Canis lupus familiaris: one gene and its partners. The protein of the gene in region 2 interacts with the protein of the main gene of each other region in a pairwise test. Links are inferred from orthologs where the notes say so. Each region holds a gene or a part of one and is shown on either strand. Other genes may lie near its edges.

Region 1 (2,333 bases), on a different chromosome or scaffold from region 2:
CCGTCCCAGATCCAGGAGCAGCCCCAGAAGGGGCTTGGCCCCCGTGAGGACGCATGGGGGCGTCCTCCTGGCCTCCTCGAGGCTCGTGCTTGCCACCCATTACCTGAATTTCTGGGAGGTGAAGCAACTCAAAGCTGCAGCGGGTGCGGGGCCCACCCCACCCAGTCCACCGTCAGGCACAGAGTCAGGGTGGGGACAGGTCGCCATGGATGGCTGGGGGACCCCTGAGCTACAGGGCCTGGGGAGGTCGTGAGCCCTGGGGTCCCGTGTGCTGAAGGCCACCTCCCCGACCCCGTGTCTGTGCGTGCCCCTGCGTGCGGCCAGGCTGCCCCCGGGGTTCTGGAATCCCAGGGCCCCTCTCAGGGCCAGTGGGCTCTTCCCTCCATCTCTGTTCCATCAGGGCCAAGCCCAAGTGTCACCTGATCCCCAGGAGGAGAGTGGTCCCAGGGAAGGGGGCAGGGCCGGACGTGGGGCTTGGGGGACCCAGCTCACAGCCCAGGACTGCTGGTCCACCAGAGCCAAGGGCCAGGACAGCACGATGGCAAAAAGAAACATTTAATAATTTGGGGAAAAGAAAAGAGGTATACGCCAGGCGGGGGTGCCGGGGGCACAGCCCCGTGGGGTGCTCGGGTGGGCTCAGGGCGGGTCTCGAGAAGCTGTGTCTGTCGACAGGACGCGGGGAAGGCCGCGGCAATGTGCTGGCCACAGCCCGAAGCTTCGCACACATCTCGAGCAGGGCTCAGCAGAACTGCAGCAGACGGATGAGAGGCGTCAACCCAAGACCCCTGGGACCCCCGCGGGCCCGGAGGCAGGGCTGCCCCCCGTTTCACATCACGAAGACCCCACAGGCTGGAGACGCCCACCTACCTTCCAGCGATTTCCACACTCGTTGCAGACAACGAAGGTGGTCATGGGCTCATCAGAGCTTCGGGTCTGCACCTGCGGGGAGGGCTGCGGTGAGGGGGGGCCACCCGGGCCCCAGGGGCTCAGTCACTTGGAGCAGGTCTTCCCGAGAGTCACAGTGTGAGGAGACCATCCGTATCCTCGGGCAACGCTGGCATTGTAGCCCCTCGACCCCCCGGGGGACCCCACACCTCCTCTCCTCACCGGGGACCCCTGGCACATCTCGAGGTCCACATCCGTGTCCACATCCACGGGTCTGAGCACAGTCTTGAGGCCACTGCAGGCAGCACACTGCCCCCACCCTCCTGCTTGGGCCCTCCATGCTGGGTGAGGCCGGCCCCCCCCTTATAGCTCCCAAAGCAAAGCACCACCTGAGACACTGCTTCCTGGGGCCCAGGGCTGCGGGGCAAGGGAGGAGGAGCCCGGGCACCACTCACTAGGCACGTGTGCAGGTGCAGGTGTGGACCCCGCCCCACAGCACCGCGCGCAGGTGCAGGCTCCGGGTGCGTGAGGTCGCTGGGGCGCCCACCTGTGTGTAGGTACAGTTCTTCCTCCTGCACCTCCCGCAGGTGAACAGGTCTGTCTGGGTGCCCCCCGTGCGGGCCATCTGGTGCTCTCGGATGGCTTCCTTGGTCATCGCCTTCCGGATCTCCTTCAGCTCATCGCTGGCCATCTCCTGGGCGAGGAGCAGTGTCCTTACCCGCTGCCCACAGCGGTGGCCCCCACGCCCCTGCAGCAGGACTCACCTCCGACGTCATCACCGCGATCTGCTGGGGGGTTATGACCCCACACAGCACGTTCCGCCGCAGGTCAGGGTTCTTAGCGTCCTTGAGGTTGGAGATGCGGCTCCGCACACGGTTTTTGTACTTCATGTCCGTGTTCCCCACGTCCCGGAAGATGCGTGCAGGTGTTTAAGGACCTATCCGGAGGCCAATACTGCTGCCTTCCACTCACCCCGGGGCCAGCGCAGGAGGCCAGCGAGGGCCTCCTGGTGGGAGCCTGGCAGCTCAGTGTGCCCCCCACACCTGGCAGCGAGTGGAGGGGCTGCAGAGGGAGGGCCCCACCCGACCCAACCCTGGCCGAGGCCCAGCCCCAGGCTCAGAGCCCTGGTGACCCAGGCCCCCCCGACGGGCAGCATCAGTCCAGAGAGGGCCCTCCTGGTCAAGGGGGGAGCCCACCCAACTGACCCACTGCCTGGCAAGGGCACTGGGGTTGTGGCCATCAGGGGAAGCCGGGCCTGGCTGGCCTCAGACTCCCCCAGAAACCCCCAGACCCCACACCCTGCATAAAGGATATATTCCTCAATCTGGGCCGACAGGCCCTCGCAGTCCGCACCAACGGCCATATGATCATCTGCAAGAAGCAGCCCTGACTAGCTGCCCCCTGACTCCACCACCACTTCCAAACTGCCCAGCACCTGAGGCCCCAAA
Region 2 (4,227 bases):
ACACCCAAACTGTAGCAAGCTACAGATGAGTCCCAAATTCCAATTCCTCTGCTATCCCAAATAAGCTCATTATCGTGAGCTTGCCCCAGTTTACCTCTCTATTTAGGCTGACATTCCTGGGAGTCAGAGGTGGGATCCAAAGGAGATGACCTCCAAAGAATGATGATTCAGGGAATCAAGGGAGGTACCCGCATGGAGCCTCTTGCACTCATCACTTTCACAAGTCGCGGTCTATTTCCAGTTTGATGAGTCTCTTCTAGGATTCTGAACTCCTTCCCTTTGATTGAGTTTTCCAACTTTATTCAGGATCTGTATAAAGACAATCTTTTTTTGTTGAGTACTTGTTTCCCTTAGTACTAGTATGTTTGGTGAGTATTCCTTTGTTTTATTATTGGAAGCACATCAGAATTTTGGTATAATTCCTTTGGAATTATTAGGAGTGTTAAAAAGAAAGCCACAGGCTCTAGGTGGAGTCACTTGCCCTCAGGGCAATAAACCAAGAATTAATTGTAATTTCAACCTTTTCAGGAATGGAATTTTAAACCAATTAATCTGGAATTTTCTGGCCTGCACCAAAGAGGTAATCTTCACCTGGGGCCCTCTCATTCCCCAAAGGAAGATCAGGTAATCTGGATGATAAGAACTCCCTTGCCCCACCTTTCCATAAGCAGAAGCGACCTTGCCTGAAATAGTACTTCCTTTTCTTTTGCTAATGATTTCTTGCCCTATCTTCCTTCCTATAAAAACCTTCCACTTTAGGGTGCCCGGGTTGCTCAGTCGCTTAAGTGTTAGACTCTCAATTTGGCTCAGGTCATGATCTCAGGGTCCTCCATGCTCAGCGAGCAGTCTGCTTCTTTCCTTTTCTGCCAACCCCTCCCTCTGTCCTGTGCACTCTCCCTAAAATGAAAAAATCTTTCAAAAAAAAAGACCTTCTATTTTGTTTACCTCATCTCAGACCTCTCTACTTCTTAGATGGGATGCTCACCAGTTCATGAGTTGCTTAATAAAACCAATTAGGGACACCTGGGTGGCTCAGTGTCCGCCTTTGGCTCAGATCAGATCCTGGGGTCCTGGGATCCAGTCCCAGTTCGGGCTCCCCGCAGGGAGCCTGCTTCTCCCTCTATGTCTCTGCGTCTCTCATGAATAAATAAAACCTTTTAAAATAAATAAGAAATCTTCACATTTACTCAGTTGATTTTTCCCTCCTTAGTGGGTATTAGAATTTTAAAAAAGTTTTGGCAAGGTTACAGGATAGAAGATCGATATGCAAAAATCCATTGTGTTTCTATAGACAAAATAAAGATGAAATTAAGAAAATAATTCCATTTACAGTAGCCTCAAAATAAGATACCCAGGAATATATTTAAAAGAAGAACTGTAGAAATTGTGTTGCGAAAACTACAAAATATTGTTGAAAAAAATTTTTAAAGACCTAAGTAGGGACTCCTGGGTGGCGCAGTGTTTGAGCATCTGCCTTTGGCTTAGGTCAGGTCATGATCCCAGGGTCCTGGGACCAAGTCCCCACATTGGCTCTCCACGGGGAGCCTGCTTCTCTCTCTGCCTGTGTCTCTGCCTCTCTGTGTCTTTCATGAGTGAATAAATAAAATCTTAAAAAAGACATAAGTAAATGAAGAGACATACAATATTGACTCAGGGCCAGTGTGAGATTCTCAACCTGGCCCTGTTGATTACACTCCTCCAGCTCCCATCCTCCTCTGCCACCCTTTCCCCCAATCTGTGCCCCCAAAATTCACTAAGGAAGTCTCCAGCGCCATTCAAGCTCACCAGAAGTATCCACAGGTTTTTCACATTTTTCTGTATTTGTCACACTAGGAAGTCTGTGAGAGGCAAAGAGAGACAAGAGGGTCTTGGGACAAGCGACTAAGACATAATTGTCCTTACAATTACAGCATGCTAAAGGCTAGTTAGTGTAAGGAAGAGGCTAAGAAAGCTGTCGGTGACTTACCTTTTTTTAAAAAAAATATTTTATTAATCCATTTGAGAGAGAATAAGCAGGAGGAAGAGAAGCACAGTACCTGCTGAGCAGGGAGCCCTGCAGGGGAGCTGGATCCCAAGAAAGAGATAATGACCTGAGGTGAAGGCAGACGCCCAACATCTAAGTCACCCAGGCGCCTCCACTGTTTTAAAAAATTTTATTTGAGAGATAACAGAGACCAAAAACGGGGAGAGAGGGAGAAGGCTCCCCGCAGAGCAGGGAGGCCCACGCGGGTCTTGATCTCAGGACCCTAGGATCATGCATGAGCTGAGTTAACGGACTAAGCCAGTCAGGGGCCCCTGACTTTGCTAACATTGGCACAAGCCCCTAAATTTACATTCTAGCCTCAGCTCTTCCAACTCACGTCCAGACTCGACCACAATTTCAGTACCTAGGCAGTGCGCAATTCTCCAGCTGTCACACAACTACCCAGAACCCGCCATCTTAACGAATCCTGGGCCCGGCTATTGAAGGCACCTCCAGACACTCCTACAGTCCTCTAATAACACGAAGATCCCGCTCCTCATCTTACACCCTTAGGTCGTCCCCGGACGACGGCGCAAGGCCAGATTGGGCTCCTGAATTTCCCAGGCTCCGCCCTCTAGTTAGCCTATAAACTTCAACCCATTCCTGACGCTTCGAATCCCGCCCCCTCGCGTTTATAGACTCCACCCCCCTCTAGGGTGGACTCCTTTCCAGGCACGGCCCTCAGCCGACTGCCCGCCCCCAACACCCTGCAGGCCCCACCTCTTCAGAAATGCCATTCGAAGCCCCACTGACAGGGATAACCATCCAGCCTCGCACCCACGACTAACCATGCAACATTCGCCTACCGCAATAACCTTCCCTGGGTCACCTCCGGGAGAAATATTCTAGGATGACGCCAAGGCTCCGCCCCCGCGAAGCTGCCTCCGAGTCCCGCCCCGCCGCCAGCCCCGCCCACTGGCACCGCCCAGGGGAGTAACTAACCAACCCGGGCCTGCCACTTCAGGAGCTGGCTCCACTCAGACCCCGCCCCCCGGAGGCCCCGCCCCGCCCCTGACACGCACCCGCCTTCGGGCGCAGGCGCAATGTGGCACCTGTCCTGCGTACCAGCGCCGCCACGTCGGCCGCAGCCCGGGCCGCCAGGGGGCGCGCGTCCAGCCGCGCCAGGAGCTGCCGGGCTCTGGGGCCCGCGGGCAGGGGAGGGCCGTGGCCTGCGCGGGTGGAAAGAACAAGTCAGTGCCCGCCCGAGCCTCGGCGAACCCCCTACGCTCCACGACGTCCGAAGACCTAGAATGCCCCTAAGATCTTCCGAGCCCCCCGACCATTCCCTCATAGTTCCGGAGGTCGCCCGCTGCCGGTCTCGACTCCCGCGACCCCCGACCGTCATGGGAATGCCCGTAGATCCCCGCCTGCCCCCACGAAATCCCGGGACATAGCTAGCTGATCGAAATATTCCTGGACACTTCCCGACACTCTGGGACTGTCTCTGCAGGGCTCCGACCGCCCCCACATAACCCCAGATTCCAAACTCTTCCCGCACGGTAGCCAGAGGGACCCCGATTCCGCCAGATGTCCTGAAAGAAGACGGCCTGCCCCCGCTGTGGCCCCGGCACCCCCCGATTCCCCTTCCGGATATCCTAGGCGACCTTGATGGCCCACGTAGCTCCAGTTGCCCCTCCATTTATCCCCAGAGCCCCCCCCCCGCCTGACCCCTCCCTCCGCAGTTCGCTACACACCCTGAGTGCCCCGGTGTCCCCAGCGGCCCCGGGCAGACCCCTCTGGCACATCTCCCCGGGATTCCTGAGAGCCAGCCCCCGCGTCTGGGGCACAGCCCCACGGTGCGGGTGCGGGTGCGGGTGCGGGTGCGGGTGCAGGTCCAGGACCCGGAGCCCAACCCGGGTCACCGCTTGGGCGCCAGGGCTGCTTTGTTTACCACCTGTCGCAAGGAAAAGGTGAGGAGCCGACAGGCGGGGCGAGGGGTGGCCACCCAGAATGGACGTCAGGACACAGAGTGTTCCACAGCCCATAGTGAACAGTCACAGGCCAAGTGAAGGTTGGGGGTAAGCTGCCCGAGGCCCGGGCTGCTGTTGGGTTGGCTGTGGGGCCCTGGACAGGTAGGCATCTGAACCCCGAGGCCCTCCAGTTTCTGCCTCCACAAAGTGGTGGTCGGGGGCTCTCTCTCACTGCACCCCATTTTTCCTTCCACTACAGTGAGGAGCACTTGCCCAAGGGCTCCTCTCTCGGGG
Region 3 (4,427 bases), on a different chromosome or scaffold from region 2:
TACTTGATTCTAATAGCAACCCAGGTTGTGACAACCTAAAATCTCTCTAGATATTGCCAATGTCTCCTAGAGAATAGAACTGGCCTTGGTTGACAACCACTATCCTATAGGAAGATATAAATGTCCCCACATTGTGCTCGCTTCGGCAGCACATATACTAAATGTCCCCACATCATTTTGTGTAAAAAGAATAGTATGTTTATCCTTATGGCAGATAAATGAGACCAGTGGCTAAAAGCATACTGCCTGTCCACAAGGTGAGAGTTCAACAGACGTTAACTACTGCCTTATACTTTTCAACAGCCAACCCTACTCTGAGGACAAAAGGATGAAAATGGGTGTACTGAGGATAAGAAAAGAATCACACAAAGAGATGGACACGTTTGGATAAACAACAGAGATGCTGGGGGCCTGTGGAAACTATTGCAGAAGAGAGTGGAGCACAGCCAGCATGATTCTTGAGAGCACAACTCAGCAGAGGATTTATCAAGAGTCCAAAACAGCCGCTCCCAGAGTAGGATGTGGCCATCGCAGCAATTCTTTGAGATGGGCCTCAGAATGGCGAGATCACAAATTGATCAGAACCAGCAGCTTATACTACACAGTGTTTTCCATTCCCTCACAGATTTGAATGCAGGGCACCCCCTACCACTGCCCCCTCAAGAAAAAGCTCTGGTGGCCAGTCTGAGCAGCCTAGCCAGTTCCTCTAGCAGAGTGTGCCTGCTTGGGACAGTATGGCCCTCCAGCATGGGCCTTGAGAGCTAGGGGTTGGGAGGAGGGGGCTTCTCCTGCAGGAGGGACTACATCAAGGTCCAAGACAGCAAGCACCATCCCCAGTTGCTCTGGTCAAGCCCTGGTGGTCTGATGCCTGTTGGGCAGGGTCCAACCCAGGGCCAGGTCACTTAATTCTACCCTGCTGGGACAAAGGGCTGTACTCTCAGCAATAATGCCAGAACCCCCCCGGATTAAGTGTTTCTTCCTCTAGGGGTTAGCCATCATCTGGGGTTTGCCCTAGATAAACACTAGCGTGGGGTCATGACTTTTTCCATCAAGGGGCAAAAGGTTCCAGCTGAGTTACTGTCGACTTATTTCTCTTCTCTCCTACTGAACTTTTCCAAATTGTGGGAAAAGCCCAGTTTGCCAGCAGGGCCCACACAATCCCTAAGATGGTCGCTCATTCCTTCACGGATTCTATCCACACAAAGTGCCCACCTACGGTTCTTAATCTGGGATGCGGGGATCAAGAGGATTCAAGAAATCTGGGGCTTCGTGGATCTGAAACTATAAACTGAATCTCCCACTTGCTCCAGCTTTCTGGAGAGTGGATCCACAGCTTTCACCAGATTCTTGAGCAATGGGGCCGGGACATTCCAAAAAAACAAAACAAAAAACAACAAAAAACCACCCTATACTTACTTGTCACGTCTAAAAACATACATACTCTCGGATTCAGCATTCTCCTTCTGGGAATTTATCCTATAAACCCAATCCCACCTCTGAGCAAAGATATTCACTGGCTATTCATTGTGTGTAGCACAAACTGACAGGAAACGATCCACACATACATCAACAGATGACTGGTCAAAATTTAACCAATCCCCCAAAGATGACTGGAATATCAACACCCATTAAGAAGATCAAAGAGAGGGGATGGGGGGATCAGCGGTTTGGCGAGCCTTCAGCTCAGGGTGTGATTGCGAGTCCTGGGATCAAGTCCCACATCGGGCTCCCCGCATGGAGCCTGCTTCTCCCTCTGCCTGTGTCTCTCTCTCTCTCTGTGTGTGTCTCTCATGAATAAATAAATAAAATCTTAAAAAAGAAAAGAAGATCAAAGAGACTCTAGGGGTATGCTCCAGGGCAGTGGCTCTGGGGTGGGGGCAGAAGGGGACGTTTGGTAGCAGGGGGAGGTATGTGTGGTGTCAGGATTGGGGGGGGGGGGTGCTCCTGGCATCAAGCGGGTGGGGCCAGGGATGCCCCTCATCGCCCCCACAGTGCCCAGGACAGCGCGGTCTGAGGCGGAGAATTCCAGCTCTAGCATTATCTCCGAACACATGGAACGGAAAACCGAAAAAGCCGAAGTACAAAGGGCTACACAGGCCACGGTACCACCGTGTGCGTGTGCGTGTGCGTTTTTCTAGGAAAGGTGTAACCGATCTTCGGAAAAGATGCCGGTCCTTGCCCCTGGGGAGAGGGGCTGGATGCCCCGGGGGACTGGAGGCGGAAGCGGGGCTTTCCCCTCCACCCTTTCCCAACTTTGTAGCGGGTCCATCAAAAGGGGTTTTCGTTTGTTTGTTTTGGAGAACGACTGCGGACGCCAAGTTTCCCTGCCCCCGGGCTCTCTGGCAGGAGTCCTGTGTCGACAGCCTCAGGGCAGTGTCTTCCTCGCCCGCTCCGGGCCCGTCTCCGCGAGGGAAGGCGACGGCGTCCGGGTCCGCGTCCCGGGTCCGCGTCCCGGGGCGCCGCCGCCCCTCCCCGGGGTCTGCCCACCCTCCCGGGGAGACCCGAGCCCACATGGCGGGCGGGCCCGTGAGCCGCCTCGTCGGCAGCCCCCGTCCCTCGCGGGTGGGAGACCCCCTCAGCGGACGCCGCGCGCCAACGCCGCGCCTCCGGAGCCGGCGGCCCCCTCACGAGCCCCGTCGGGCCTGGCCGGGTCCCCGACTCCGCACAGCCTGGGGGCGCGGCGCCAGCTCCCCCGCCTCGGCCGCCGCTCACCTGGCTCGCCTTGTAGAACTGCTTCTTCAGCCCCGCCACCGACATGCTGCCTCCCGCCGTAGGGGCTCCCGCCCGGACCCAGCGAACCGGAGGGACCGCGCAAGCGACAGGCTCCCGGGCGCCGCCGATACCCCGCGCGCCTCAGCGGGCCCCGTCGGCGCTGCCTCCACCGCGCTCTCGCCAGCTCCGCGCCCGCCCCGGCGCCGCCTCAGGCCCCTCGCGCGCCCGCGCGGCCAGGATATTACATGGCAACCGCACACTTCCGGTGCCGGCCTGCGCGCGCCCCCGGCCCCGACCGCGCACGCGCGCCCCCTGCCGGCCGGAGAGCGCACGCGCACGTCTTGCCCTCTCCCCTCCCCCCCCGTTGAGGCCGCCTCCGACAGCGAGCCGACGGGAACGAGCCTAGAGAGACCCTGGAGGCTACAGCGCCTCCTGGCGGCCCGGAGGTAGTCCTAGCGTTTTAGGAAAGGCGCTTAAATCCTGGAGAGGTTGGGAGGCTGGGTCTGTAAATCAGACGTCGTTCGCTAATCTCAGCCGACCCAATTCTCTGTGCATTTAGTCCCTTCCACACGCACCGCCTTCAGCCCTGCCACGTGCTCATCCATTTAGTTGCCCTAGTACGACATCAGGGTGTCCCTTTATTGCTTTTCTATCCCCCTGGCCTCCCTGCCCAGGCCAGACTATCGCACCCAGTCTCCTCGCTGGTATGCCCACCTGCAGGTTCCCCCTCCAATTATCCCCCTTAAAAATACTCAGAGGGACGCCTGAGCGGCTCAGCGGTTGGGCATCTGCATTCGGCTCAGGGCGTGATCCCGGGTGCAGGGATCAAGTCCCATGTCGGGCTCCCCGTGAGAACCCTGCTTCTCCCTCTGTCTGAGTCTCTGCCTCTCTCTGTGTGTTTCTCATGAATAAATGAGTACATTCTTAAAAAAAAAAAAAAAAAAAAAAAAAGGATGCTCTATAACAAAATGTATACCACATTAGTCTACTATCTTCACAATACACTCTCAACTTCGTAGCATGGCCTACAAAGCTTACAGATTTTGGCTCCATCAACTCTTCTGACTTCAGCTCTCTTCCTCTTCTATAACCCATGATCCCTGTTTCCTGTGGGCCTTTGCTAAGGTTGTTCTTTTCTGGCACATTTTCCCCCAATCTCCCCCCCCCCGCCCCCCATCCTTTGTGCATAAAAGAGAAATCTGTTGGGAATGTCACCTCTTTCAGGAAATTCTCTCAGTTTTACACATGTTAATTGATTTTTGTTTTTTATATCAATTGTTATTGAATTAACTGGAAGTTCGATTCTGGAGACCCAGGATCGAATCCCACATCGGGCTCCTGGTGCATGGAGCCTGCTTCTCCCTCTGCCTATGTCTCTGCCTCTCTCTCTCTCTCTCTCTGTGACTATCATAAATAAATAAAAATTTAAAAAAATGTTTAAAAAAAAAATGGGATCCCTGGGTGGCGCAGCGGTTTGGCGCCTGCCTTTGGCCCGGGGCGCGATTCTGGAGACCCAGGATCGAATCCCACGTCGGGCTCCCGGTGCATGGAGCCTGCTTCTCCCTCTGCCTATGTCTCTGCCTCTCTCTCTCTCTCTCTGTGACTATCATAAATAAATAAAAATTTTTAAAAAATGTTTGAATTAACTGGAAGTTAATAATAAGTTGGAATGGATAAATTAATCTGAAAAGAGGAACAAGAAAGTGGCTAGAGCT

The links.
Region 1: the proteins of G-patch domain and KOW motifs-containing protein-like (region 2) and TCEA2 interact in binary tests that used the Homo sapiens proteins (3 or more experiments, as listed by UniProt). The two-hybrid records come from large-scale screens. The link is inferred for Canis lupus familiaris from reciprocal best matches to the Homo sapiens genes GPKOW and TCEA2.
Region 3: the proteins of G-patch domain and KOW motifs-containing protein-like (region 2) and SH3GL1 interact in binary tests that used the Homo sapiens proteins (3 or more experiments, as listed by UniProt). The two-hybrid records come from large-scale screens. The link is inferred for Canis lupus familiaris from reciprocal best matches to the Homo sapiens genes GPKOW and SH3GL1.

Annotation. Positions count from the first base shown.
Region 1 is NC_049245.1:48,357,562-48,359,894, reverse strand, and holds the end of TCEA2 (transcription elongation factor A protein 2), read right to left. Parts: intron 2,257-2,333; coding exon 2,200-2,256; intron 1,805-2,199; coding exon 1,650-1,804; intron 1,580-1,649; coding exon 1,433-1,579; intron 940-1,432; coding exon 868-939; intron 749-867; coding exon 740-748; 3' UTR 509-739; downstream 1-508. UniProt on the Homo sapiens protein: Necessary for efficient RNA polymerase II transcription elongation past template-encoded arresting sites.
Region 2 is NC_049260.1:42,469,078-42,473,304, forward strand, and holds the start of G-patch domain and KOW motifs-containing protein-like, read right to left. Parts: upstream 2,926-4,227; 5' UTR 2,812-2,925; intron 1-2,811. UniProt on the Homo sapiens protein: RNA-binding protein involved in pre-mRNA splicing. As a component of the minor spliceosome, involved in the splicing of U12-type introns in pre-mRNAs.
Region 3 is NC_049241.1:55,677,368-55,681,794, reverse strand, and holds the start of SH3GL1 (endophilin-A2), read right to left. Parts: upstream 2,916-4,427; 5' UTR 2,758-2,915; coding exon 2,713-2,757; intron 1-2,712. UniProt on the Homo sapiens protein: Implicated in endocytosis. May recruit other proteins to membranes with high curvature.